4 linked regions of the Lytechinus pictus genome follow. The protein of the gene in region 3 binds, or shares a complex with, the protein of the main gene of each other region. Links are inferred from orthologs where the notes say so. Each region holds a gene or a part of one and is shown on either strand. Other genes may lie near its edges. The genes, in order: transcription initiation factor IIA subunit 1-like; general transcription factor IIF subunit 2-like; general transcription factor IIH subunit 4-like; DNA-directed RNA polymerases I, II, and III subunit RPABC2-like.

Region 1 (7,366 bases), on a different chromosome or scaffold from region 3:
TAAAGTGTATAGAAATGTAGGTTTAATGTAGGTTTTCAAAACTTATCTCTTCCAATTTTGCATCTATCATGAAGATGACATAAAACATAAGGTAAAACACAATTTGACACAGCAGCAAAATATAAGACATGGGCCTAAGATTATGAAACGAAGTGTTGTAATGTCTGTTCACAATGTGCGCCTAGTTGTTCTATCACAACATGCCATAATCAGTGGGTTCTGTGCAGGCGCGCCGGAACACTTTCAGTTTTAGGGGGGCAAAATCCCGAAGGGGGCACAAGTATTTTTGATAGCGTGAGATACCGAAGCGATCGAGCGGGAGAGTGTGTGGGACCCCCCATGGTAAGGACTTTGTGTAAAAATGGAGTATAAAAGTTGCGTATCGAAGAGCATTCAAAAATAAATTTCTTGAGAATTAAACATAGAATTCACTACGAAAGACTATACTCATAATTTATGAGAACCTATGAAATCTACGCGCAAAACAATCGTTTCGGAATGTGGTTTTCATGTCTGATCAATTAAATTACGTATTATACGCTTATATTGACTCAAAATACCAAAAATTTTCATGCAATATCCTTTCAGAAACATAAGCGATGGCTTTCACTTCGCTCATGCTTTTGGAAAGCCTAAATTGCCTTTTTCCAGTTTGAAAACCCCTTCTTGCTGAAAACCTCTTCTTCTCTTCCACCACTAGGATTTTTTCGCAAGCACCCTTGTCGGCATATATGGCAAAATGCCGCTCAGGGCGAAACCGCCTGCCGTGATTGTCTTTCTTGAAGTTAGCTGAAGTAGACTGATTTGGGTTTTTCCTTTAAAGAACTTCGGTTTCTTGTCCCTTCTGGCATATGGCAGGGTTTTCGTGGATTGTGGAGGACTCTGGCAAACCTCCACTTGCTTGAGTTGACTTTGTAGTGTCCTTTTCCTCTTTTTTGTACTTTTGAAAAGTATGTTAGGAGTGATCGAGATCCTTTCGCATTGTCTTGGAGTTCTTTTTGCTCCTTCTGTTTCCTCCCGTTTCTTCATGATCAGGGTCGCAGTTCCAGCAAATGACGAGCCTGGCAAACGAAATTGTTTCAAACAAATGTAATATAGGCCTTTTAAAGACTTTAAGATGACAAACATGACCGTACGCAGCCGGGGGCCGCCGATCGAGAGGGCAAAAATTCATTGAAAATTCACCAAAAGTGTGCACGAAATCCTTCAATTTTATTCTAGAAAATGCAAAAGCTCCCCCATCACAAACCCCCTCGCTCTTAAGTTTCTTTGAAAATTTAGTTCTTGCAGCCCCACCCACCCCGGATTTTTTTATATTTTTGCATACGTCCATGAATAACAAAAGCTGGGATGAACCAGAGAACATAGCTGCCTCTCGATCTGATTATATAGTAACAGGTAATGGGAAGGAGTTTTGGAATCTAAAATACAAAAGTGCTATATTATCATATGAGCTGAAATAGTATCAGACAAAACGCCTGCCAATCATGCCAATGAAAAGGAATCGAGGAAAATACGGGACTATGAAAATATCTTAAGATTTTTATAGTAGAGCAGTACTGTAACGCTTATTTTTCTTTTATATTCTTTATTTACATTTTTATTCATATATCTCGGATAATATGAGTCAGATCAAGTAGACACTTTCATAGATGATTTTATTTTTTCATGCATAAGCATTATCTCTAAGTTGCTTTCGAGTGGGATTCACCATTTTCACAAATTATAATCCTCTACACATAATTATTCTGTGTGTAATTTTCTGATAACATGTCTATATTGAGTTGAAATGACCTTGGTATTTTCTTTAGGGCACTGACTTGTTATCATTGTATTAACTCAATTCATATTTAGTTGAAAATGAAATAATTGAAATAAGTTTTCATAATTTAAATCTATATCTTTATCATCTACTTACTATTTCAGGGATGACTTCCACAGGCAACAAGTATATGAGATATTGACGACCTCGAGATGTTATGGTTTCTGGGCTTAACAGCTATGACATAGATTCCATAATGTTGCTCGAGTAACTAGCGTTCACGCGCGTTAAGGCCACCGCACACCTTATACTGTTCGCGATCCGATTTTGGAACAAATCGCATTTTGCTCATTTTCTGAAGATGTGAATGGAACATATCACTTTATTTGAGGTTAAAATTAATTGAAAAAATAATCTTATAACCATTTTGAAAGATTGCAAGCCTTTATTTTGAAGTAAAGGCCAAATTAGTTTCAAATCGTAGCCAATCATACGACTGCTATGACGTCATTACGACTAGATATTAAATTCTCTTTTATTCTAAGATGATAATATAGTCACAGATTTGATCATAGGTATTCGTACGATGATTTATGACATTACACAGTAAGACATTCCAAGTCTCAATATTAGCATCAAATTCTACAACATTTTATTCTGAAATCGGGTCGCAGACCAGTCGTAAGGTGTGCGGTCGCCTTTAGTGATATCGGGTCCGGTCTGAGCGTTTGGGCGACCGCGCGTTTGTTAGCCGACACAGCCAGCATGCATTGGTGAACCACTTTCAATTTGCCATTCGGTTTTAGTCTGAAATGTATTCATTAAAAGGTTAAACGTTATCACACTGTAATAAGATAGAAAAGGGGTTTATCAAAGGTATGTTTCACATGCAGAGGGACATCGTCAAAAGACGCGAGGCTTACTATGATATGTAATAGCCCCGTCATTCATTTTTGACAATGGAAATTACAATTTTTAGGCAGAAAAGTGCCTTCATCGTTTACTTTTGTCCTTAAATTATTTATCATTTTCTACTTTTAGGGGGGTACATGGGGGGGGGGGGGGAGCAAAATCTCGTTTTGCCCCCCAAAAATTTTATTTGGGGGGGGGGGCAAGTGCCCCCCCCCTGCCCCCCCGCTTCCGGCGCCCTTGGTTCTGTGTTCGATTGCCACCGGGTCAGTAGTGGTAAAGTGACCATAGATGCACCTTGTTTCCCGGAAGGAAGCGAACGCCAATGTATTGGCTAGTTGCTCGTTGATCATAGAATACTCCCCTAGCTAGGGAATATGCATATACACTGTATTAAAGTGGCAAGCCATATTGACCATTATACTAATCTGTATATGCGCATCAGAAGGCTCGATCATCGATGTGATAAGCGCAATAAAAGTGGATTTTGAACAACCAAATCGGTAAAGGTTAACTGAATGTAAATAAAATCTTTGTTTCAATTTCTGTTTTGAGGAATCATTTTTTCATGTTAAAAAGAAAGTACACCCCCAACAGTTTATTTGAATGAAGATAAAAAAAATCAAACAAGTAGAAACTTCATCGAAATCGGATGTGAAATAAGATAGCCATGACATTTTAAGGCTTCGTTTATTTTCCAGAAATAATTAAATTCACCATATGCACATAAGTGAAAGAGTCGATGGTCTCACTCACTTACTATTTCTATTGTATTTTTTGTACGATATCTCAAATTTTGCAAATTTTTTCAATAAAGGAACCCTACATCGAACATCAGCGTTAATTCCACATTTTCAGGGAGGAATCAAACTTTGTTTCACAATATAATGAGGAGAAAATGAAAACATTCATATTTCATAAAATAATAAATAGTGAGCGGGTTACACGATCAGGGGAGCGTTTCATCAGCATTTTCATCCGACAACTTGTCAGATCTGACAACTTACCTTGATTTTTGATTGGCTGAGAAGCAATATTGCTATGGCTACTGTCAGATAAAAACAAAAATCTCCAAGAATCCTCATTTATATACTGACCAGGATGTACAAATACCTTGTTTGTTTGATTTTATCCTTCTTCAAATCATTTTTTTTGTGAGGATAGACCATTGTCCTGTAAGGGATAGAGATTTATTTATTCACCTGCATGAACATTAATTAGAAACGAGGTGTTGCCAAGGATTTCACTGCATTGCGGATGAATGATTTGTATATTTTCAAAAATCAAAACTACCTGCTAAAAATGGTATATTCGTCATTCATTGAGGCATTTATTCCAAATTCGTATTCTTCATCAATTGTCATATAGCAGACGACAAACTAGATAACGGAAGCAGACGATTTTTACATACAAGGCTATTAGCAAATTATGAAAACAAAACTCTATTATGAAAAAAAATATTGACTTTTTGATTGTATATTATTACTAAATGTATAAAAACTAATTACAATTAACCAATTTTGTTGTTTTATACATGTAATGATACATTATATTTTCATTAACTTGAATAGTTTTGAACGAGGAGTTTTAATAGGGGGTATGACAATTCCTTCAATTTGCCGCTCCCCTATAGGTGAAAAAGAGAACTTGTTGACGAGTATAAAAGCCACGAGCGACAGAGTTGCAGTGGCTTCGGTGGAGCCGAGACGTGAGGAGAGAAGCGTACCTGTACTCTTTTTTTCAACTCTCATTTCATCAGATCTGGACCTTTTCTTTTGAAATTTGAAAATGGCTTCTAATTCTCAGACTGTGGTGAGCCTTTATGGGATTAATAAGAAAATTCACGGGGAAAAATATGTGTTTAATTAAATAAATTGTCTTTTTTGAAAATGACTGTCTATGAACCGAGTCTGATTTTGATTAAAATAAAAAATTTCAGTAAATATTTAGGGAGATAGGTCAGACTCAGTCAGAGGACGCATCCTTCTTGACGAAATTTTGACGTCAGATAATAATATAATAAACAAAATTAACGACAGATTATTGGATGAATTGGTAATCGATGATCATGGTTTGCAGGGGTTTGTCTTTTTTTCAATAATTTCCTGATAATGTAGATCTATTCATCATATATATTTTCAGCCTTCCCTAAATTCTCTTCTTTCGCATTTTACAGCACAAATTGTACAAAAGTGTAATCGATGATGTGATTAACAACGTTCGAGATGCATTCTTGGACGAAGGAGTGGAGGAAAATGTTTTGCAAGATCTGAAACAGGTAAGAATACGCTGCCTGCGCCTGTTTGAACATTCTGCCAGTGGCAAAATATGTACAAAGCTGCTCTCGTTCTTCTGTACATGTACCGGTAGTGGTACTGTGATAATCGCACAGAAAATATTTGCAATGGCAATGCATATTACACGTCGATTGAGAGGACTGATGTTCTCTCAAGAGGGGCTTTTTCGGATGCCTCTTTTTCGTTTTTGCCAACTCCAGCACGATGTATAGATTGTTCAGAAGATCCCCTACCCTAAGAACAAAATTTCCTCTCTTTTCGACTCCACATTCTGTTTTCCCACTTTCCGATAAATCCTTATTTGTAGGAACCATTCGCGCCCAATTGTGCGGTGTGTCACGGCAGCGGTCTCGGCGTGAACTGCCATCTTTACAGGAGCGCCGCGACCTCTTGTTAGGGTTCGATTTGCATATGCCCATGTATTTATACTGGAGCCTCATTTGACTACAGATCGCCTTGCAGCCAATGACATTCGTGTATTTGGTTGAGTGACCTTAGGTTTTTATACATATTCATGAAGTGGTATTTAGTGAACCAATGAATATCCGCCGGTGCCCTGACTCATGCATAAAGAAGCTTATTGATCATATGTCTTGGTAGTCTTCGTGTCTATTCTCTTTCCAGACCCTTTGAATTACCGTTGAGGTTGGATAAAATATGAAGCAAACAATCAGAGGATTGCTATTTTGTTTTCAAGCACATCTTTTGATATTATTTGAAACCTAGTTTTTAGCACACTATGCAATCATTAATCACTATTGGAATATTTATTTTTGAAAAAATTAAAAAAAACTTTAGAAATTATGCATGTGTAAGACAGACAAGTTTAAAATAGAGTCTCTTTGAATAAACTACCATTTGATGTCATTCATGCTGGACTGGTGAAAACTTATAAATGACCTGTTTCAACCATTCTTTTTTTGAGGGATTTTTTTTTTTTTTTTAGAACTCAATGAAAAAAAAATTGCCAGGTGTTATTTCTTATGTCTTTCATCAAATCTCTAGTCAGAATAGAGATACTGCCCTCTTCATTTTCCCCCCTTTTTTAACTTTTAGAAAGTTCTTGGTCTGCAGCCAGGTTTGGGCTTGGGGGGGGGGGGGGGTGGGGCTCCCTGATGCTTCCTCTCAATTAGCTTGGAATAAGTCCATATTTATTGTAGTTTGGCGAAAGCAAAAAAAGAAATTTAAATAGGCTAAAACAGGCCTATTGGGTATATGAGATGTGCCGCTGGGAAGGGTGAATTTTTCAAGAAAAATCCTTAGACATTAACCTCCCGTTTTCATAAAAAAGATCTTTAGACATGATTCCAATTTCCACAAAAATAATCTGAAGACATGGGGTCACTAATTTTTATATTTCCCACGTTATTTTGTCTGAGATTTAGAACTGTGTTTGCTCCCAAATGATGAAATATGCAGGGCCGAGTCAAGTATGCCTAAAAAATATTCATATCCACAGAAAATGAATAGTACATTACATACCGTAATTTTTGTCCCAATGATCAATTTGTCTGGTATGGCGCAATCAGATAATTGGTGCTGTATAATATATGCTTCAGTTGGTGCGGGTTTGAAACTCACCAAACACTTTCAGAATGTTTAGAATTGAATTATATTATATTGCACCTGAAATGTGTTAACATTAAAATTCAAATTCAAACATGGGTCGTCTTTTCACAGAAAATCCTTAGAGATGGGTGCCTATTTACGGCAAAAGAATCCATGGATGTGGGTATGGGTTCAGGGGTCTCACTTTCACACCCCCCCCCCCCCCGAATTTCGACTCGTCTCTTCTTTTTTTTACTTCCAATTTTAATATTTAAATGATGAATAATCTATGATTTTTATGAAATTAGTTTTAAATATTTTTTTTAAATAAGTAATAAACAAAATTAGGGGATTTGGCATAAAACAGTAGCATAGTCTGCATGATTTGTCCTTAACTTGAATAATTGCTGGAGCCAAAGATTTGTTTTTCAGACCAGAATATTCAGAACATGTTATTTACATCTTCTAAGTCATACAGGGAAAAACTCATTCCAGCTTACAAGATGTAAAATAGGTAACATACATGTACATGTACCTGGGAATTAGTGGCAAAGTACCTCATAAGGGCATAGTTCAAAAGTGGGGAAACCTTGAAGCTAATGAGGGTTTCCTGAATTAACAAATACTTTTGTTTGTTGATGTAATCATTTTACAATATTATTGTATCAATATTATAATAGATTTGTTCTAATCATTAAACTATTTTATCATGATTATCATTATTATCATCATCATTATCATAAAGTTTCATTATGAAAAAACAACTTTCCTGTTTCATTTTGGTTAATCTTGAGATGTCTATTTTGCTTTGCAATGATTGAACAGATATGGGAGGGCAAGCTCATCCAAT
Region 2 (7,185 bases), on a different chromosome or scaffold from region 3:
TATGTATGTAAATGCCGTTTAACGTTATTATGTTATTATATCAAAGTTTCGTAATGTTGCGGGACCGTGGAAATAAAACATAAATGGAAAATAGAAGAACTTATTAGGCCTACTGTTTAATCTCTCTTATTTTCGATTGCCTTAGATGTACCTGGAATCCCTGGTCCGCGGAGGTTCAACAATTGATTTCTCTGTCATACAAACTAGCCTTACAGCTCTAGCCAAAATCTATCAGTTAGGAGCCGGTAAGACGTCACAATCAGATGGGTCAGAGGTCACGTTAGATGACACGACCTTTGACGGGGTCAGGGTACTTTTCTACCAGCACACAGAGGGAAAGCAAGAGAAACGGCCGGCATTTATCTTTCTTCATGGAGGCGGTCTTACTGTCGGAAGCGTTGGTGAGTGGTTGTTGGGTGATTTCTAGTTAAGTGTTGATCTTTTGGTGTTGGTGTTAGGTCAATTTTTACATCAGCATAGCACCAAACATGAAATAAAACTGGTCCTGAAAAGTCACTCGCTAGGTGTATTGACCCGTTAATATTGTGATATCACTTTTATAAACTTGGAATTGGTTTCAGAGAGGAAAGACAATAAAAATTAAGCTTCCAACACCAACACCGGACTTGAAATCACCCATAATAATGTTGATATTACTTCTCTATTGGCCCATATGACGTACCATTCACTAGTCGCTATGCACTTCCAAAGGCACTTTGACATTCGAACCATGGCTTGAGGTAGGCAAGCCTTTTGCACGGCACAATTAAGCATTTCAATGAATAATATTCAGGTACCCATCTACCTCACCGGGTGGGTTATTTCATGAAGCTGTTCGTAAGTTAAGAGCGACTTTAAGAAAGACTGGTGAACCTTTCTTACGTGCTAAATAATCACCAATAAACATTCATGGTGAATATCATTTGCCACAATAAAGGATCACCAGTCCTTAAAGTCGCTCTTAACTTTCGAACAGCTTCATGAAATACCCACCTGGGTTGAGTGCAGAAAAATACGGATCGATGCTTAAATAAATTTTGCCATGACAGGGATTCGTTTCAAAGTCGGAGACTAATCCACTCGGCCGCAGCGCTCACTCAGAGAATGATATATCCCGATTCACCTTTTGGGGAGGGGTCCATAAATGGTGCAGGGGCAGAAAGTTTATCGATTTTGTTTTGGAAAATTTCAAGAATAAAAAATAAGAACAGGGTTTGATTTCTTCCTAAAAATCTGACGAGCGAAAGGGGGCGTGCTAGCTCGTACACCATGTACACCGTCAGATCAGTATTAAAGGGACATAAACTTGCATCCTCATTTAAAAGGAGGCAATATCCCGTCTAAAATGGGGAGACGAAAGAAACATTGTACTGATGTTTGCTTGAAAGGGTCAACTCATGCCCCCTGGATCCGCCCCTAATTAATATAACCCTTTCTTTCTTCCTTCCTTGATCCTTCCCTCCTTCCCATCTTTCTTTCTTTCTTCCTTCCTTCCTCTCTTTCTGCCTTTCGCTCCCTCTCTCTCTCTTTCTCTTTTTCCCCATAACAGATATCTATGAAATTGGTACCCGTGATATAGCAAGACAACTTGAAGGGATGGTTGTCATATCTGTCGAGTAAGTTCCTACATTTTTTAATCAGAAATTCATGATCGAAATGCTAATAATGAAAGGGGCAGTGCCACAACGGACAGGGGATGGCAGCCCCTATATATTTTCAATCAATGAATAAAAAGGGGAAAGAGGATAGGAGAGGGAAAAAAATTAATAATAAATTTCTCCACCTATTTTGGGATGGTTCTTTCATTCATGTCTGGCATAGAAGGTGGCACGACATTTCTCCGGGCTTTACTTCGTCTAAGACATAGGGTTCGGGTTAGGGTTGCAATAGGGTTTTGTGTTAGGTTTAGGAAAGGGAATCCAAGATTTAATTTGGTCATTTTTCAGTGTGTGGAATTTACAGCAGAGCAATTGTCCCAGGACCAAATGTAACGAAATCCTAACGTATGATTAGCCTATATTATCTGAAAAAATGGAATAATATTTCGTTTTGTTTTAGAGGGTTTTACCAGCTGACTTTTCTAATTTTCTACTTTCGTTCAGTTATCGCTTGGCCCCGGAACACCCCTTCCCGGCAGCATACGATGACGGGGTAGCCGTTACGAAATGGTTGATGAGACACGCCGACGTTTACGGAGTCGACCCAACTCGCATCGCCGTAGGAGGTGACAGTGCCGGCGGCTACCTCACGGCTGCGATCGTCCAGGCCATTCACGATGACCCGGCCCTTCCCGACGTCCGTCTCCAGGTGCATCTCTTCCCTTGGTTGCAGCACTTCGACTACCATACACCTTCGTACCAGAAGAACAACCATGTTTTCGGCGAGAAAACCTGGATTGAAAACTCCATCACGGGGTTTACCTTCAGCGCGTACTTCAACGGAGTCCTCAACGACTCCCTGGTCGAGCAGATGTCGGCGAACAACCACACTTCCGCCGCCTTCAAGAATTCCCCGCGCTTCCGCAAGACCTTCAACCACTCGCTGATCCCCAAGAGTTTCCGCGACCCCGCGTACTACGCCCCGCCCCAATCCAGCGACTTCGGCAACGAGGCGATCTGGAATGACCTCAAAGATACCGTCCTGGATCTTCGGTTCTCGCCGATCCTTCGCGAAGATATGCGAGGACTGCCGAAAGCCTACATCGTCACCTGCGGCTATGATCCCCTGCGCGACGACGGAATATTCTACTATCATCGTCTAAAAGATGGTGGTGTCGATGTGGACTGGGTTAACTATGATATTGCCTTTCACGGCTTGGATTGGTATTCTCCACTATATTCAGAAACAGGAAAGCAGGTGCAGGAAGGATTTATCAAATTCATCAGAGTTAACATTTGATTTATTTTCCTGCGTTTTAATCTGCAATAATTACCAGCAGTATCTGGTTGATTATACTTTTTTTCTCAAGTGCAATTAATTTCGTATTGAAATGCAGTCAGTATTCGTCAAACCTAAATCATACACGCGACAGACGAGTCATACCTCTAACTACATATTGAACAAAACTTGACAAATTGTATTTATCCAAATCATCGTTTTTAAATGAATATATTCAAATGCTTGTCTAGGTTTAATTCGTTTGTATTTTGAATTAGATCGTACTAATTGATTCTTAATGCCACTTTATATTGTTAATCTAGCAGAATGTGTTTTTATAAATACGTGAAATGATTTTTTTATGTTTACGATGGTATATTGTATTTCTGTACAGATTAATCATGATTGTGTAGTTGCCCAGGTACTGAAGAGTTTAAATCAAATTGTTACAACAATAGAATGTTTGTTCTTACTTTGTGTTTGAAAATAAACAGATAACGAAAAATTATATAAATTAGAAAACAGAGAGAAAAGCAGACATGGTATGAAAGAGGGGGGGGGGGGGTCGGCGAAATTAATAAATAGTAAGCATAATAAAGAGAGAATGGGAAAGAATTAATGGGTGAAAATGAAACAAACAAAAGATAGAAAGTAGGCTAAAAGAAAGTAGGTAGGTATGTTGATAGACAGGCAGACAACTAGATAGCTAGGCAGAAGGCAATAAAGATAGATATGGGCCGACAAATTGAAAACATATTACTTGTATTGTCTCTTCTATGCACTCATTGTCATTTTCCTTTTGATGGCGACCTCAGCAATCTAGATTACAACGAGCCCCTTATATTCTGCAATACGGAGGGTACTGAATAGAAGAAAGAGAGGGGGAAAGATGGACGGAAAAGGAGAACACGAAAGATTGAAATTGATGGATATTGAAGACCGAAATCCCCAAACTATTGCTTCCTCAATGGGAAATGAATGGGTTGGACTGATGAGAGAGAGAGAGACGAGTGAGGATCAAGGGAAGGAATATGAAAGGATGAATTATTGATCGAGGACAAGATGCGTAATTTCTCTCATCCTTCAATCCATGTCTATGAACAGAAACAACAATTAAATTCATTAAATCGATGGTAGCTCGAAAACCAACTTTTTATCTTGGCAAATCGGTAATATGACCCACGGCCCACGACATGACCCAAGACGAATATTTGACGCGCCGCGTCTTTCTCATACGGCTCTGCGTCGAGAATGTTACTATACTCACGCCAATCTGGGGTATAGCGCCATCTGCGGCGAGGTAGCAGCGATGTATTTATATCTTGCAGAAAGAGTCGGATAATCTTGCTTATTGTAAATTATTCTGTCGCAGTAGCCTTACGAACTAAAGTCCTTTTCTACTTTTATCAAATTACCAAGGTCATTACGATGACGTCCAAGATGGAGCTCGACTTGACTGCTTCTGCACGACCGATTTGGCTGGTCAAGGTAAATAAAAATTAATAATCGAGTCAATTTAAATGGCAGTGTCTCAAAACAGGTTACAGAATGGTACAGGTGGGACTGCAGTGTACTGTAATCTTTTTCAAACAATAAAAACAAGTGCTACAAATTACAATCCAATCAGAGCCAACCGCGTAGCCAGGATTTAATTTTGGAGGGGGCGGTAAATGCATGCGAAGCGTGCCAAAACTTACAAAGCGCGCTCCCTAGGGCCTTAGGAGTTAGGGCATAGGGGGGAGGTTACTGCGCCTGCGGCAGCCCGAACGTCGTGTCGAGGTCCCCGGGGCAAGGGGGGAGGGTGCAGGGAGGTGCAGGGGGGAGTTTTTGATATCTCATCAAATTTGAATCAAAAGAAGATGTCTCTTGCGTCTCTAATAATACCCTTATCAATTTGACTTGCTGTGATTAAAAACAAAACCTGTTTTCCAAAGAAAAGATGAGTGCCCCAAAAATGGGACAAGATTGAGGAATTCCAAATAATTCCTCTTACCGCGCGAAGCGCGAAAGCTAAGACGTTTTATTAAAAGAAATTGAGAACAGAAGTGGTTTAAAATGCCTATCTTAGACTTTAGTCACCAGATTTGATTGTAAAAACTTTAACCACATTATATTTCTTTAACTCACAAAACAGTAGATGCGGGTATATGCAGGGAGGAAATATTTCTTCCCGCGAATGGCTTGAAGCTCTGAATTTTAGAAATTTCTTTGAAACTTTAACCTGCTCTAATTTTGATATTTCTATAAATAATACAAAGAAAAATGTAGCTCAAAATGTGAAAGGGATGATGCAAGCTTGAAGAGGGACTTTTCCTTTCCCATGCACGCGAAGCACGGAAACTTCTGTGAGTTATTTTGGAAGAAACAAATTTGTGTAATTTCGCTCATAATATTAAGCGCTTCCTTTTGTATGATTAAGAAACTTCTGTGATATTCAAAATTTCAAATCAATGGCGCAAAACAGGACATGAGATGGATGTGCAGCGATATAAATTTAGAATAAAGTTTCATCGTACCAACGTTTGCATATAGCACGGCACGAATTCAATGCTCCCCCTTTGAGCAGATACTTTGCCAAAATATTGCTTGCTGAAATGCGGAAGAAATAGCATTTGGGGACTTCGGGATCGAGTGACAGTATAAAAGTTTACCCACTCTGAACAGACGAGGAAAAATTTGTGTCAGCGCAACTGAAAAAAATACTTCTCATACTCCTTACACCCATGTATACTTTATAATTTCTGGCAAAAATGCGATTCCCATGGCCGGGAAGGAGAAAAACGGAATAGAAAAAAAGGTGTGGGAAACAAAGGGCTAAGGCAATTTTGATATTTTTCCCGCGTGGAGCGCAGAAGCAAAATTTTGTGTGAAGAGAGAGAAGAACATCTCGTTTAGGTTTTTATTCTTTTGACAAAAAAGAAAGAAAAAACAATAAAGCTATAGGCTATACCCTTCTTCCCTTTTCTCCCTTTTCCCCTTCTTTTTTTTTCTTTTTGGGGGGCGACCGCCCCCCCTGGCTACGCGCCTGATCAGAGCGCGAACTGAACAATACAGGAACTCATTCTTCCCATCCACTATCATTGAGTGGAATTGCCTGAGTGACGCTGTCATCAACTCAACTCTTGATTTCATTGTCTTTCGCTGGGCGAAAGCACGGAAATCGCACGATTTGCGTGCTGTCGCCAAGCGAAATCAAAATGGTGACGTAAACACGGTGGCAAGTTTTCCCCGTCTTTTCATTACATTTTTCTTGTTTTTTAAATAAATTCTTGTTTAAAAATGAAATCAATAGCGTAGAAATGTCGGAAATGAAGTTGTATCCCATACCGGGTACATGATTTAGGGCTAGATCTAGATCTTTTAGAAGGAAAGTAGAAATCTCGGGGGCGAAAGTTTCAGGTTTTTTGGCAGTACACGGAGATGAATGGGAAGGAATTTCTGGCTCCGTTTAGAGTAAGCATACATTAGTAAATGATTTTTACTCTCTAGGAGCCTCCTGGGGCCCGTTTCTCAACACCGTCATAAGTCTAACTTCTTGACTAAATCGGAGATAGTGAGCTACTTGTCCGCTAACCGTTTCACAAAGCCCTCTTTACCAAGATCGGGTACAACAACCTCACTAAATATTAATGACACCTCCGAACCTGTCATAACTTCTTTCTTAATGATGTAGTGGCATCACGTGGTTAGACTATGACAAGCAAAAGTGCCTAGATATTTGAAAATAATACTCTTACGTAATCAATCATAGAGGTTGAAATTACATCACAAAACAAGTGGGATAATGCATTCAATGATAATTCTAATAAAAAGAAACTATAAAAACTGTTGGTAAAACGCCACAAAACCATTCAGTTTGAAATAGTAAAATGATTTAATCGACAAAGATTCTACCACGTCAGGCCATCCATAACTGGACTCGTATTTGTCGTTTTCAGACCCCTATTAACATTTGGATAAATTCTATTTCTAATTTATGCATAGAATTTGTCAAATCGTATGTTTCAGTTTCAAAGATTTATTTTTGTTTTTGTTAAACTATATTTTGATGATGTTTGGAACCGTAGAAGGGCGTATAATTATCATTATTTTACAAAGAAAACTGTTATGGTTTACTTTCGTAAACTATTAAAATTCGATGTCCCGGGGGTACCCATCTCAACGTCCACATGTGATTTTCTAGTCATGAAATGATTTATTCATAATTTGATTTTCTCAGCAATTGAATGCTCCAATCTTCATGGTCTAAGTATGTATGATGCATAATTTACATGTGCTATTATTTTGAAAAGATGTATCTCCCAATTC
Region 3 (7,892 bases):
GATCTTTGTTAAAGCGCGAGCATAAGATTTTTGTTTACGTTTTCAACTGATCAAAAAGGTACCTGTTAAGGACTGCTTATTTCACTTAGCCATGGGGAGACGTTACATATTTCAACAATAAAATCATGCAAGCGCGAGCCGATTTTTTTTGGGGGGACACTTCTACATAAAGAATGGAAAATTTAAATCAATTGTAACCATGAACAGGATCGTCGCTATAAAACAATTAATGCGAGCGCGAAGAGCGAGCGGAAAAAAAAATCGAGATTTAGTTAGACCTAAAAATGGGACACTCTATTCATGTTTTATATATCATGAAAAGGATGAGATAAGAAAGAAGTAGTAGTGCATGGGCGGTATCGCCAATAGGGGGGGGGGGGGGGTGCCAATTCGTCTACGGCAAACTCGTCCACTCACTACATGGTCTATTTTCATTAAGTCTAATGCCAATCTGTCCATCAACATTTCGTCTAACAGCCATTGGTCCATTAACCATTTGGTCCAATCATCACTTCTTCTAATAACCATCTCGTCTATGACCATTTAGTCACATAACCGGTTGGTCTAATAGCCATTTTATTTTCATAACATTTATAGTCCAATTAGATGAAATGGTATATGGACCAAATGGCTTTTGGGTCCACTGGTCATTAGACGAAATGGCATTATACTAAATGAAAAAAAAAGACTATGTGGTGAGTTGACGAACTGATGGACCAAACGATAGTAGACGAGTTGGCAATTAAACAAATTAGAAATAAACCGGGGAAGGGGCCGAAAAATATTTGCTCTGCTAAAAGTTAATAAGGGTAGTCCTAACAGTCACTTCTTTATTCTCATTAAACAGCATACACAAAACACAATATATAATAATCTCATAGCCCCTATAGTGCGAGTGAGAAGCGCGAGCTAAAATATCTTTGAAATTTCATGTTTTTTATCCTCAAAATTGAACATTCTGGGCAATGTTTGTGAACTTGAACAATATGCGTATTTTAATAAAATTTCTGCGAGCGCGAAGGAGGAGCAAAAAAAGAAAGAAAAGAGAGAAATATACATTCTGGTCTGATCGAAAAGGGACTTGCTAATGGCGGTTTACAGTTCAATCAAAATAATGCGAGCGCAAAGCGAGCTAAAAATGTTTGAAATTCTGACCATAAAAATGGACATTCCAAGCACTTTGTGTATGAACAGAACAGAATAGGGCCTAAGTAATATTTTAGGTACAAAGTGGGAGCACGAAGCGTGAGCGGATAAAAATTGAGATATATAGACCTAAAAAAGGAACACTATTTTATATTCATGTTTTCTAAATCGTGAAAAGGATGGGTACTTGGTTACACCTTTACTTGTATAATGCAAGCGCGAGAAGAAAATGTTTGATATTCTAATCTGAAGCGAGATAATTTAAGCATGCTGTTTTCAATACAGGATAAGCAGCCCGTCTCAATAAACATGCATGTTCTAGAATTTGCGCATTCTTAATACACTTTTTATCACGGAAATCAATAATGCGAGCGCGAAGCGCGAACTGAAAATATTGGATATTCCGATGTGAAAAGGTCAAATTAAGCACTGCACTGTGTAGGAAAATAACCGTGAAGTGGACATGGATTGCTCTTAAAAATGAGGCGAATGCAAAGCATGTCGAGCTGAAGTTATTCTGGACCGTAGGACCGGGACATTCTAAGGACATTTTTTCATCATTATGAATGACTGTCTTCCGATTCCTCTTCCCAAGCGCAAAAAGAAACATGTCGATCTTCCATTCTGAAAAAAGTGACAAGTTAATTACGGTATTAGGAATTAATGAAATGTTATCAATATCTTATTTACTAATCTAATAAGCCTAATGAGAGCGCTAAATTTGTTGATTTTAAAGTGTTAACCTCGGAGATTATAAGCACTTTTGTCATTATGAATAGGATGCATTAATTAACGTACTTAACGAAATTAATGCGAACGGCAATTGCGAGCAAATTTTTAATTTAATAAACTTATTATTAACTAAAAAAAACTGTAATGAAAAGGGGAATGTGAGTACTTTGATTTATATATATTAGGTATACATGACTCACCAATTCTAGCACGTGCGCGCAATATAGCTGATAAGATATGACAATCAGACCTTAAAAGTTATATTTTGAGAAATTTATGGAATAGGGCCTACACGAAGAGGAGGTACTCCACAAATCAAATAATGCTATAGGGCACAGCGTGAGCTAAAAATGTTGATACTCGGATCATAAAACAAATATTTTACAAAGCACTTTTTTATTGATTCGTTATACCTCAGTCACATTTTTTCTACGGCGGCCGTACGGCGAGTCGAAAACAGTCGTTTTAACATTTTTTTTGTACCAGCTTAATATAGGTGGTTTGAATAAAAATGAATAAAACGGCTGTTTTCGACTCTCCGTACGGCCGCCGTAGAGCAAATGTGACTGAGTTAAAGAAAAAAAAATCGGCTTTTAACGGCGCCGATCGGGGAAAAAAATTGTTGTCCCCCCCCCCCCATTGGAAAAAAATTGATCTACACCGGGTATTTGTCTGTCGTACCTCCCAGCATTGGCGGCGGAAGCCAAGGGGGGGGGGGTCTACCTGAAATTTTGTGATGGACACAGGTAAAAAATAATTTGACAAGCAAAAAAAAAAAAAAAAGGTTATCAACCTCAATTTTAGGGGGGGGCCGTCCCCCCCCACCGCAGGGGGACCTGTCCCCCCCACTTCCGCCGCCTATGCCTCCCAGTAAATGAAACAACAAAATCAACAAATCACCGTTGCACTAGTACTAAAAATTTTGCGAGTCTTTATTTGTTTAATATTTTTGTTTATAATGGTATTCATTAATTATATAGTGGAGGTTCGCATCCCGAGAATGTGAAATGAAAAAAAAAATGCACTGAACAGGAAACACTAAATGTTCTTTTCAATTCCAAATTTACTCAGTCATTCAAATAAAAAAATAAGCATCATTTTTTGATACCTTAACTTGTTCATCACGAATACAATGAAGCCGACAATTATTTGCTTTGTTTTGGATTAATCTTTATAATATTATTAATTCACTTCAAATAAAATTCATACATAAACAGGAAAATATCACAGAAAATAATGTAACAAATTAACAGTGCAGTTGTATAAAACATCATAGAAAATAACATGACAGATAAATTTTATGTCGATAGGCACACTGTTCATTCGATCATAAAACAATCGCGCTGTTTCACTCTATCAGTATTGTTTCATCTTCATCTGTCCTCAATGGCAAGGACACCAGCATAATTCATTCACTTCAAATAAAATTCATACAGAAAAATATCAAAGAAAATAAAATAAAAAATCAACTTGCAGTTGCATAAAACATGATAGAAAAAACATGGCAGATGAATTTTATCTCGACAGGCACACTGTTTCATTCGATCATGAAACGATCGCGCTTTTCCACTCATTGGACACGCGCGACTATATCAGAATTGTTTCATCTGTCCTCAATGCGGCAAACACCAGAAGTGATGATAAGTGCACAAGTTGCAGTTGCACGTGCGCGGAGAATGAATTAAATTCGGCGGCTGAGTAAAGTCTAGCGAGAGAGACAAGTCACCAACGAACTTCACGATAGACCACGCCTACTTGCCGAGGTACCCAACGTTGATTGACGGCCCATTTAGTTTTTTGAGTAGTATGAAAAAGTACAGGCATATATAAACATCATTTTAGTGTGAATTCATTCCAAAAACACATTTTTCTTCTAATATAGATGTTTCAAACATATTCCATGTGGAAAACATTATTTTTAAAACATTTATTGCTATATTTTTATCATGAAAAAAGGGTTTCTTACGCAACAGTCAGTATGATATGTGTGGGCACGAGATCTGCCGTTTAAGCCATAAAGCATATTTTTTATGATTTTATTGTGAGCCTACTCAAAGGATTTTTGTTTATTTTTATGAATTTCCAGACCAAGTTCAACAGCGCCGTCTCGAGCTTGCAATAACGCATGCGATCGCACGCATTTTTCTCCATAGCGAATACACGCGACGAAACTCTGTGGATTTCTCGTGGATTTAACCTCCAAACGTCACTTTCGATACCACATGAAGGTAAGACACTTCATCCCACATAAGTTAATTTAAATGTAGAAAACACAGGGCCTAATTTTTTTCACTAAGATGAACTAATTTGCTGAGGAAAAGCATTTCAATGCTCATTTTTGCCGTCGAGAACAGACGATGGTGGCAATGCACACTGTTTACGTACTTGCAATTGGCTTTTCATTTGCCCATACGGCCATAGCAATTTTGCTCAGTGGATCGGCCGACCTTTTGGTAACTCTACTAAGTACTATATACTAACCTCATACTAGTGTGAGTGACCTTGACCTAGCCCTAGGCAATAACTCTTTTCTTTCTATAGACTCTTGAAATTCATACAATGTACATTAAGCTTTCATTTGATGTGTCATTTAGTTTGATTTGTACAATCTGAAATTTTGGCAATCTGTTTGACATATTTATGGAATTGCACTAAAGTAACCTGGCGATTGAAGCCCTGTGCAATCCCAATATTATATTCACAGAACCGTGTTATCTCCTTTCATTATGTATGCATACTTATCGCATTAGCCGGTAATGACATGTTCTCCTGTGGAAAAAAACAACAGAGATTTCGATTGAGATTATACTAACAGTTTAAGATTTATTTCTAACGTAAACAATAAAAAATTAAAGTCAAACCACACAATATGAGGCATGCCCAATATGAAGACCTACAAATTTACCATTCACGTTAAACTTCTCTAGTCATATTCTTCGTCTTACCTTTTTGATCGGGCTTCGTTCGGGCACTCGTCTTCGTCTCCGATACCGGTATCCATCCACTAATATTTTTGTGACGACACAAGATGGCGTCTTCCATGGGCCATGCAATTGACAACTCTAGGAAACTTGACTGCAAAGATCTCCATGGTTATCTTCGGACTCTTCAAGGATCTGTTTTAGATAGACTCTACAATCATCCTGCAACATGTCTAGCTGTATTTCGGTGAGTAATTAATGAGAAAGAAGCTTGGTTTTGATTGATTTATTGCCCCATTTTGATAGTGTAGTCCCACATATTGAAAGTTTTGCTACGTCAACTTTGGATTTTTTTTTGACAAGTGATTAAATTTAAAATCGTCCTCACCAGTGGCGTAACTACGGGGGGGGGGGGGGCACGTGCCCCCTCCCTTCATCGGCTGCCCCCCCAAAAAACGGGAAAAGGAGAAAAAGAGGGAGAAAGGAAGAAAAAAGTTGCGGGAAAGGAGAAATTGATTAATCAGTAGAGGCGCACGGCCACTCCTAGTACCAATGAGGTCCAACATTACATGTATGGACCTCATAGGCGACATCAGTAGTATTTTTGGTTAGAAATCTCTGAGAACAGGATATTTAGGCAATTATATCACAAGTACAAGCTCTATTCCTTTCTCTTATTTAAATTATAATTTTATAGTGTAAATGCATCGTTAGCAACAACAAAAAATGAAAGAAATGAAGGGGAACTTACATTTTCACGGCTTTTTCCTGATTTTCTGGGCAGCTGCTCTTCTCTTCTGACTCGCGATCGAAGCTGATATGAAGATCACGTGATTCACGTTCTCGTCAGCTGATCGGTTGGTTATTCTTTCCGTCAGACGTTAATAATATATATTTTATAATGCTATCATTCATCGCTAATTTAGGTGAAAGAGATTGAAGTTAAACAGCGCCAGGTCGGAATCATAATTATTTTGGAAGAGTGTATTTATACACTCGATCTCATACCTGACGTAGACGGCGCTATTCAACAAATGCACAATCTTCAATATAAAAAATAAAACAGAAAGAACGCCTTGAACACAGGCCAAAATGCCTAACGATTTATCCGCGGCATTAACAACTATCGTAAAGGGCGCTCCATTTATCAATAAAGATGGACGCTAAGCTGTCTATGGCGACAAAATTTGCCGCAAATATTTACGAAGAATTGTGAGAAATGGTCTGAAAATGCAACAAAAGAACCGGTGAGTACCGATTAAACATTATCAATTTATTTAATAGAACATATTTAATTACTACAATGTAAAAATTTCTAGATAATATTGCTTAGTTCTAAGCTAGGGAGGCCCAAACGCGCGTGAGCGGAGTCCCACTTTATTAGCACGGGTAAGTATTGGGGTGTCGCCTAGAGTGCGCACGGCCAATATTGGAGACTGTCTCCAATGTGGGAGAGTATCTCCAAAAGAGTCCAATATCAGAGACTTTTGTAAAGAATTTGGGTATCCAATTTCAGAGACAGTCTCCAGTTTTGGAGTCCAATTTCCTTTGTTTACATTTGCTTCAAAAGGATTACCTTGGCGGCAAATAAAAATGTGATAAGCAGACTCCTCATGAAAAATTACCCCTTTTCACCGTCTACTTTAAATATTCACCGTCTACTTTTGTTTTGATAAGGATTTTTGTTGTCAATCACACACAAAACAAATGGGCTTCTGACCTCAGTGAGACAAAATTTTGGGTGGAAAAAATCATGCTTTTGTTGGTGTTGTTTCTTTTGTCCTTTTGCAAAGCAAGTCTCCAATGTGGGAGATTGTCTCCCCTATTGGAGAGAGTCTCCCATATTGGCTGTGCGCCTCTACTGTTAATAATCGTTCATTACCGATTACGGACAACTCGGACCGTTTCACGGTTTTTTTTCACATAGTTGCGTCTATTTTTCCATCATTTCAAAATTTCTTGTAACGATTTTCTAGAGATATGGTCTGATGGTAATTTTCTTCACTATTACTTTTTTTCGCTGAAAAAAGGTGTAATTTTAGGCGTTTTTCCTACAGCTCTTGATTCCCATAGGCGCGCGTGCAGCCATTACTTTTAGCAGTGTTGCATTGGTGCTCGGCTCGGCCCCGCTCAACAACTGACTTGATTAATTAAATTAATTATTTTTATTTTTTTCAGGATTTAAAATAAAATGATGTAATTCATCGTGCCCATTTCCATTCCTTGTTTTTCCCTGATTTATTTTCTTTATAGGGATGCTCCTCCCATCTGCCTCATTACTTCCATCCCTCTTCCCATCATCTCCATTCCCTTTATTATCTCCATCCCTCTCATCATCTCCACCCCTCTCTTCATCTCCATCCCTCTCATCTATCTCTTCCTCCCACCATCTCCTTATCATCTCCATTCCTCCCACCATCTCCTCATCATCTCCATCCTTCTCATCTCCACCCCTCTCATCTCCATTCCTCCCACCATCTCATTATCTCCACCCCTTCTCCCATCATCTTCATCCCTCCTCTCATCATGTCAATCCCCTCATCTCCATCCCTCTCATCATCCCCGTCCCTCCCATCATCCTCATACCTAGTGCTGCAAGTCAGGCGCCATGTTCGGGTTCGGTTCGGTTCGGCAAGGTTCGGCAGAAATTTGCCGAACATTGGTTCGGTTCGGGGTTCGGTAATGATAGACTGATAAAGCTATAGTTCATTCAGGTATACGTAGCCTGTCGTAGCGTACCGGTAGACAATTTGTACTTGATTGACTGCATGTGCTCGCGTGTACCTCTGTCACATCAAACCATTTTATCTCTATCTTGTTGACATGAAACTATGAAAGTTATAGCGCTCAACGAATCAACTGTTATCTCGAATTTAATTATCTGATGACAGATTAATTGGGTAACTCACAGTTCTAAAATGGCGACTCTTCCTAGTCGTCCATACCTGGACCACACTTTGGATACTTGCCAAATTAACTACGCTCGCACTTGTACCAGGACTACCAGCTAGGCCAGCGCATGCAGTCCCCTTGGAGCGGGACTCTGGGCTCATAAATATTTATATATACAATCCGGCCAAACGTGATTGGCCA
Region 4 (8,011 bases), on a different chromosome or scaffold from region 3:
CCCTAAACCCTAACCCTAACCATAAACCCTAACCCTAACCCTAACCCTAACCCTAACCCTAACCCTAACCCTAACCCTAACCCTAAACCCTAACCCTAACCCTAACCCTAACCCTAATTGAATTCAATTCCCATTGAATTCCTTCAATGGGAATTAAAACTTTATTTCATATTTTAATGAAGAAAAAATGAAAATATTTCATGTATAAAAAATACAAAAGAAATAGAGAGTGAATGACATCGATCACCTCACTAACCAGGATATGCATATATTAAACTGTTTTGTGAAACCATACTTTGAAACGCTTGCCAACGATGTTTTGAATGTTGCATTGCACGGTCACATCGTTGGTCGTTGGCTAGCGGCGCACCCAACGATGTATAGCAATAGCTAGTAGTAGTAGGTAATTTAAAAGAGTGTATTAATCTTGTACTATTGCACCTTCACATCGTGGGTCGTTGGTTAGCCAACGATGTTTTAAATGTTACATGGCACCGTCACATCGTTGGTCGTTGGCTAGCGATGTTTTGAATATTATATTGCACCGTCCGTACCGTCACAACGTGGGTCGTTGGCTAGCAGCGCACCCAACGATGTTTAATTATAGCTCTAGTAGTAGTCAAAGGGCAAAGGTCATTACGTATGGCCTGGATGCATTGCTCGTACGTACCTTCCTTCCTGGTTTTCTCCCTCCGCTGCTTTCGGAGATCAGCCCTATGAAGGCAATAGTATCCATAATAAATAATCATCCAGGGTTAAGAGTAGACAGGACAAGTCGTAAAGATATAGTTCATGCAGTTTAATTATGGTTATATGCAGGTTCTGAGCATGTATCAATATGTTTCAATCGACACATATGAAGTTTATAGATAAAAAATAATGTCTTAAGAAGCAGGCAGTCTTTGATAGAGACTGGTGGATCAGATACAGGAGGAAGAAGTACAACACAAGTGAACAGAGTAGGGTTTGCTGAGTTATAAGAAGAGATCACATCTGGGTAGTCTTTCAGAGATTCATTGAGTAAAGAAATAAACTCAAAGCGAATTGAGTTGGAATGGGGACATGTGGCGATAAAGTGTTCTACTGTTTCGTCTGCACTATGACAGTGCTGGCAGGTTGAGTCAGCGGTCTTAGCAATTTTTTTCAGTCTGGTTTGAAGAAGGTAGGTGGAAGAAAGAAGCTGTGCTCTCACTGTCAAGGCCTTTCTAATCAAGGAGGATGGAGGGTTTCTTGGGTAGAGGTCCTTGACGTCCATAGGCAGATTACCTGCCCAGACTGAAAGACTGGCTTTCAAAGGGATGGTTTGCTCTAGATCCTCATTGACATTTCTCCTCGTTGCTATGTTGATGGTGCGCTTCCAAGTGTTGTATTGAGGTGGATCTGTAATTAGATCTACAAGTGGTGGGAGATGATATTTGGACAGAGTATCAGCAAACATCCGGATGGTTGGAGTTGTTTTCTCTGAGGCATGAAGAAAGATTCTAAACTCGAACCGACAGCGATCAATAGAAAGAATTGACCCAAGGAGGAGGAGTCTGTCCAGTTCTATCTGAGCAGACACTGGAATCAAGTCTGTGAGAAGATACACAATTTCATCGGCTGAAGTGATTGGTACTCCTAGGATCCTTTTGAATAGCTGAAGTTGTGTTTTGTTCAGTTTCTTTAGCATTGCCTGGGTGAACTTCAGAGTAGCACAGCCATAGAGCATACGTGGGATGCAGTAAGACGTCCATAGGCGGGCAGTCACTAAAGGCACAAGACCCTCCGAGTATGCACCAGTTCCTACCATTGCATAGAAGGTGTTCAGACCTCTTGTAGCGATCATATCAGATTGGTCTGATTTCGTACTGGTCTTGAGAATTCCTAGATGGGTGTGTGAATCTGTCCGCAAGATTGCATCATTCCCTACTGTCCAACTATCCTGGTTACTGGCTTTGCGGGGATTGGTGACCACGATAGCACTCTTAGATGGGTTGATACGATAATGCCAACAAGAAGCATATTGGAACGTCACTTCAAGCATTTGTTGTAATTCTGAAGGGGAGTTGCTTAGGAGAGTGATGTCATCAGCCAGTGCAATCACACCTGCGTATTCCGATCGTATGAAGGTGCCGAGCCCAAGTGACTTTAGATGTTTTATGAGGCCATCAACGAATACGGTATATAAGGTGGGAGAGAGGATACCACCCTGCCTGACCCCTTGAGTGATAGGAATGGGATCTGACACATCTCCATCCCAAAGAACATGGCTTTCCATCCTTGAGTGTAGATTTTGTATGAGACGAACAAGGGAGATGCTTATCCCAATGGACTGCAACTTATCAATTAAGCCTTCATGCCACACACAATCGAATGCTTTCTCCGCGTCAAGATAAGCGGTGTATGTCGGAAGTCTCGAAGCAGTATTGAGTTCCAGAATAAGTTCAAGGCACAGAGATGTTAGCATGCATGAGAAACCTTTCCGAAACCCAATACGTACGTACGTACGTAGTATAGTAGTAGTAGTAGTACCAGTAATGCATGTACGTATATAATAGTATGGATATATCTAGGCTATATACCATTGAATTAGTATATAGCTATAGGTCTTGACATCGTTGTGTTGGCTGACCAACGATTGGGTAGTGAGCAGTGTCGGGGTATTCTGCAGTTAAGCCGAAAGACCCTTTCGTGCAATCGGCCCCTCGACTCTGGAGGATCCAGTGGATACGCAGAAAAACCACACACCAAATTAAATATACGGGACTGTATTTAACATGATTACAATAATGCTTAATTCAGCCGCATGTGCATGGGTAAATAAAGCTACAAAGTACGAGATACTATCACGATAAGTAACACAGTTATATCAGTCACATAATTTCATATGGAATACAATTTAATGATGTTCTTACTTCTCGATATCTTCGTCGTCAGCCATTGTTTTGTCGGCCTTTTATAGCTTGCTTGGCAAACGTGAGTGATCTCCGAAGTCCAAACGTATTACGCTAGTATACTTCGGATGAGAAAATATGAGCCAACTGACGCCAGCGCCACCCGTCCGTCCGTCAGAAATAATACAGGGAGATATTAAAGACATTATTTTGTCAGTTAAAATTCAGAAGATCAGGATGAAAATAATGATAATATTGATAATAACCACAACACAAATAATAATTATGTTAACAATGACATAAAGAATTCATATATGATCATCATTATATTATATATATTATATACCAGGTACATTTTTTTTTTGCTTTTGTGCTTATCATATATTAGACGAAGAAGAAGGATATCATGCAAGGAGAAGAAGAGGAAGGAGAAGAAGAAGAAGAAGAGGAGGACGGAGAAGAAGAAGAAGAAGACGGAGCTTGGAGGCGGAGAAGAAGAAGATAGAATAGGTTTATGCATAGTCGCATTTTGTTCAATGATGTATTGTTCTATAAAAAAATATGCCCATATGAGTCAAAAGTGGCCATGAGCACCTGCCTCTATATATAATAAACGTGTATATAATTGCTACGAAATTTGTTTTCCCCTTTGAACATGTTGAAAGTAAGTGTTATGATACGCCTATAAGTTCGCGCTTTGCGCTCGAGGCTGGGCTGAAATGGGACATTTTTGCGTAGCAGTCTGATCTGTCAAGCAGGGTCATGCATGATTATCACGTAAATATAGGCATATAGGCCTACTATAGATACTGAAGTTTATTATTAAGTCTGCCAAAACATGATTTGAATAGATAAAGAAATATCAGACAAAAAAAACATGACATTTTTATCAAAATCAGACAAGGAATAACAAAGTTATGACATTTTAATGATTTTGCATTATTTCGGTCAAACAACAGTTCTGGAAATGTGTCTTCATGAATATTCAATGAACAAACAGATGATGTCATAACCCCACTTGTTGTTTTGTATTTTATTATATGAAATTATGTTTATTCAATTTTCCGCCAAGAACTAAAAAAAGTTGGATCGACAACTGATTTAATGCATTGCTGCATGCAACTTATCATAGGTAGACATATCATTCACACTTGTATGAAGAAATAAATTATTTCCGATTTCATGTAATAACATAAGAAAATTTAGGAACGTGGGGATGTGACACCATCAGCCCACCCAATAAATATTCATGATGACGTGCATAATTGTTATCACAAAATATTGCTAAACTTTAAAATTAAATAACCTCGTTATTAATTGTTATCGGATTTTGATGAAATTTTCAGCATTTTGCTCGGTGAATATCACTATATTTATATTTTCAGCCCGGGTTAACCCTTTAATGATATCCCTGTTCATTATAGTTTTTAGATTTTTAGATATATATATATATAAAATTGATTTTCAATTAATTTGGTGAAACATTGGAGACCTCTGGGTTAAATTGGACTAAGACGTATAAGTATCACCATGGACCTACTGGTATTAGAAATACTGCTCACAAAGTGATTGATAATAAACAAGTGGAACGCCTCTGGCAGTCTCGCCTGCATTACGCGATTTAATATAGCAGCAGTGCTAACTTTGAAAACTACAATAAAATAATCACTCACAAAAATATATAATGACATAATGCCACGTTCATTGACCATAATACCTTGGTCACATTTGTTCTACGGCGGCCGTACGGCGAGTCGAGAACAGCCGTTTTAACATTTTTTTGTCCAACTATATATAGGTGGTTTGACTTAAAATTAATAAAAACGGCTGTTTTCGACTCGCCGTACGGCCGCCGTAGAGCAAATGTGACCAAGGTATAAATGACATTTGAACGGTGACTTAAGACTTGTCAACTACACCCATGTCCACATTTCATTCACTCTATCCATAAACTTTCAAAGTTATGATGGCAATTCAACAATTACCCCAACATGGCCTAAGTTTATTGACCTTAACTGACCTTTGACCTTGGTTTTGTGACCTGAAACTCACAGGGGAGTGTTCAGTGATACTTGATTACTCTTATATCCCAAGTTTTATGAACTAGATCTATAAATTTTTAAAGTTATGATAGTAATTCAACAAATACCCCCAACTTGACCAAAGTTCATTGACCCTAAATGTTCTTTGACCTTAGTCACGTGACCTGAAACTCGAGCAGGATGTTTACTAATACTTGATTAACCTTATGCCCAAGTTTCATGAACTAGGTTCATATACTTTCTAAGTTATGATGTCATTTCAAAAACTTAACCTTCGGTTAAGATTTTGAAAATAATTCACCCAACATGGTCTAAGTTCATTGACCCTAAATGACCTTTGACCTTGGTCATGTGACCTGAAACTCAGGTAGGATGTTCAGTAATATTTGATTATCCTTATGGCCAAGTTTCATGAACTAGGTCCATATACTTTCTAAGTTATGATGTCATTTCAAAAACTTAACCTTAGGTTAAGATTTGATGTTGACGCCGCCGCCGCCGTCGCCGTCGGAAAAGCGGCGCTTATAGTCTCGCTCTGCTATGCAGGCGAGACAAAAACTGAATTAACACCTTTTTTATGAAAATATAAAACAAAGGAATTTGTCATGGGATTCTCTCGGATTCGGAAATTCCTTAAACACTGAATAATTATTGTAGAACATTTTGGAGTTTTCATAAGCATAATTAGCTACGCCATCTTTTTTTGTGTGTGTTTGTTTTAAAGTATTTTTATTGCTTCTTCCAGTGACATTTAACAAACAGCAGTGAAATGCAAACATAAACTGATTTCAAAACTTGCTTTATGAATAATACATCAAGGTACCAGATCAATAAGTAATTCAGAAACCTTATGCACAAATTTATAAATCAATTCAACTGGTCCATCCCAATGCACTGAAAGAAATTCAAGAAATAATACAGAAAAAAATTACCACCCCTCACGTTCCACACACACAAAATCAATCCTTGTCTCCTTCGTCCCAACCACACCCCCCTCCCCCGTCCCCGCCATAAGCCGCCTCCCTGGCCCTACCCACATTTTTGTTTTGTTTTAAAATTGGTTCAACTTTAACATTGGGTCTCACCCCCCCCCCCCCTCCCCAGGGTAACCACAAAATAGGCCTGTATAAATTGGGGCAACTTTTTGTAACCTATATGTCTATCACGATCGAATAAGCATAACATATAGGACCCCGGCCCGGGATAGGACCCACCATAAAAGGAGGAGTAACATTTTTTTTTTGCTGACATTTCATTTGAAAGTTGTGCGTATACTATAGGAACATCTTTTAACTGACGTACCCCCATTTTGATTGGCTGATTATCTTTCAAGGTCACATGAGTGTCCCATTTCTCCCCATGTCCCATTATGTATCTATATACCCGGTCTCCTGCATGTGGGCCCCAAACGGTGCCTACGTATAGTCTCAGTCTGTGTTGTGTGAGGATAAGGCATGATAACCGTACGCAGCGGGGGGGGGGGGGGGGGGGGGTGCCCTCCCAGAAATTTTGAATTTTTTTACTGAAAATTTTCAAAAAATTTACCAAGAGTGTGCATGAAATCCTGAATTTCACTTTAGAAAATGCAAAAACATTCCAATTACAGGCTCGGTTACTTCGCTCCTTCGTTTAATCTATTAATTAATTAATTAATTTATTTATTTGTTTATCTATCTATCTATTCATTTATTTATTCATCTATCTATCTATCCATCCACCATCTATTTATCTAGGCCTATCTATCTATATATTTATAAGTCTTTTTTAGTAGGGTGGCTCCATCAGTATTTTTTACACGTCTTGCCCCGCCTGCCACCCCCCCCCCCCCCCGCTATGAAAAAAATTACGTTATGAATATGCACAAGTGAGGGAATGGAAGATGTATCCGTCATCCATTGCCTGGTATCATAATGTACCTCACCAAACAAATATTGGAGTACATGATTTCAAAATTGTCACCCCGGTTGGCCAAGATTCGCCCCTGCACGCGCACACCACCGGCACCATGAACCGCCACTCAACCCTTGAAAAAGGTATCCGATATATATTAGAAGAATACCTTAATGACATTTCCAATACAAGTCGAAGTCGATGTGATTCCGACTCTTGAACGATTCTCACTCACAATAATGAGAGGCAAAAAGGGTATCACTAGTGATTGGAGCATCTGGTGAAAATATAACTTGGACGCTAATCTTAAATTCATTGCTGGAAAGGTAAGCATTGAAAGTGAACATTCTAAGATGATGAGAAATTTTACTGTTCTGTTTCCGTCGTTCGTGTTCCAAATCCAAAAGACCAAGGTATCGTTATCGTATTGACTGAGCTGTGGTGGAGTGTGGGCGTTTTCCGTGCTTGATCTTGTAATGAATGAACATGCCAATGAAGCGCACGCTGTTATAAATTTGCCGCTGGTCCAGCGGGCTGAAGTTGAGCCTGAACGAAGCCAATGCTGAAGCAGTGAAGGTGAAGGCTGAAACATGGTCAGCTCAGGAGATTTATGTGTGTGTGCCCGGTAGTTCACTAGTTGTTCCGAAATAACATCCATCCACTGGCGGATCCAGGGGGGGGGGGGGCCCGGGGGGCACAGCTGGCCTATGTCATATGAATTTGTAATTGTATGCTGTTTAAACAAAACAAAACTTAAGGTGTGCCCCCCCCTCCCTTTTGAAAATGAAGACCTCTTTTTTTTGCTTGTCAAAATTTTTTCGTGGAAGAAATGTCCATATTTTTGGGTAAAAATTCAAAAATTCTTATTTTTGGCCTGTCAAATTTGTATTCGGGAAATTGTGCCCCCCCCCCCCTTTTGGAAAATCCTGGATCTGCCCCTACATCCTTCAATTCCTTCCTCACATACATGTATGTTGTTGATTTTATCAAATTGATTCTAATGTTCTTGAATCTTCTTTGTGGCTTTGTGCTCATTAAAGGACAAGTCCACCCCAACCATTAGTTGATTTGAATAAATAGAGAAAAATCCAACAAGCATAACACTGAAAATTTCAACAAAATCGGATGTAAAATAAGAAAGTTATGACATTTTAAAGTTTTGCTTAATTTCACAAAACAGTTATATGTACATCCTGGTCGGTATGC

The links.
Region 1: general transcription factor IIH subunit 4-like (region 3) and transcription initiation factor IIA subunit 1-like share a complex: the UniProt entries of both Homo sapiens proteins name them as parts of the TBP-based Pol II pre-initiation complex. The link is inferred for Lytechinus pictus from reciprocal best matches to the Homo sapiens genes GTF2H4 and GTF2A1.
Region 2: general transcription factor IIH subunit 4-like (region 3) and general transcription factor IIF subunit 2-like share a complex: the UniProt entries of both Homo sapiens proteins name them as parts of the TBP-based Pol II pre-initiation complex. The link is inferred for Lytechinus pictus from reciprocal best matches to the Homo sapiens genes GTF2H4 and GTF2F2.
Region 4: general transcription factor IIH subunit 4-like (region 3) and DNA-directed RNA polymerases I, II, and III subunit RPABC2-like share a complex: the UniProt entries of both Homo sapiens proteins name them as parts of the TBP-based Pol II pre-initiation complex. The link is inferred for Lytechinus pictus from reciprocal best matches to the Homo sapiens genes GTF2H4 and POLR2F.

The regions. Positions count from the first base shown.
Region 1 is NC_087251.1:22,636,861-22,644,226, reverse strand, and holds the start of transcription initiation factor IIA subunit 1-like, read left to right. Parts: upstream 1-4,345; 5' UTR 4,346-4,459; coding exon 4,460-4,483; intron 4,484-4,847; coding exon 4,848-4,949; intron 4,950-7,341; coding exon 7,342-7,366. UniProt on the Homo sapiens protein: TFIIA is a component of the transcription machinery of RNA polymerase II and plays an important role in transcriptional activation. TFIIA in a complex with TBP mediates transcriptional activity.
Region 2 is NC_087260.1:10,629,043-10,636,227, forward strand, and holds the start of general transcription factor IIF subunit 2-like, read left to right. Parts: upstream 1-4,180; 5' UTR 4,181-4,305; coding exon 4,306-4,365; intron 4,366-7,185. Other genes in the region: esterase LipI-like, read left to right, coding at 146-401, 1,550-1,616, 2,103-2,898. UniProt on the Homo sapiens protein: TFIIF is a general transcription initiation factor that binds to RNA polymerase II and helps to recruit it to the initiation complex in collaboration with TFIIB.
Region 3 is NC_087259.1:21,886,319-21,894,210, forward strand, and holds the start of general transcription factor IIH subunit 4-like, read left to right. Parts: upstream 1-4,877; 5' UTR 4,878-4,906; coding exon 4,907-5,046; intron 5,047-7,892. UniProt on the Homo sapiens protein: Component of the general transcription and DNA repair factor IIH (TFIIH) core complex, which is involved in general and transcription-coupled nucleotide excision repair (NER) of damaged DNA and, when complexed to CAK, in RNA transcription by RNA polymerase II.
Region 4 is NC_087248.1:11,113,198-11,121,208, forward strand, and holds the start of DNA-directed RNA polymerases I, II, and III subunit RPABC2-like, read right to left. Parts: upstream 3,021-8,011; 5' UTR 2,921-3,020; coding exon 2,895-2,920; intron 1-2,894. UniProt on the Homo sapiens protein: DNA-dependent RNA polymerase catalyzes the transcription of DNA into RNA using the four ribonucleoside triphosphates as substrates.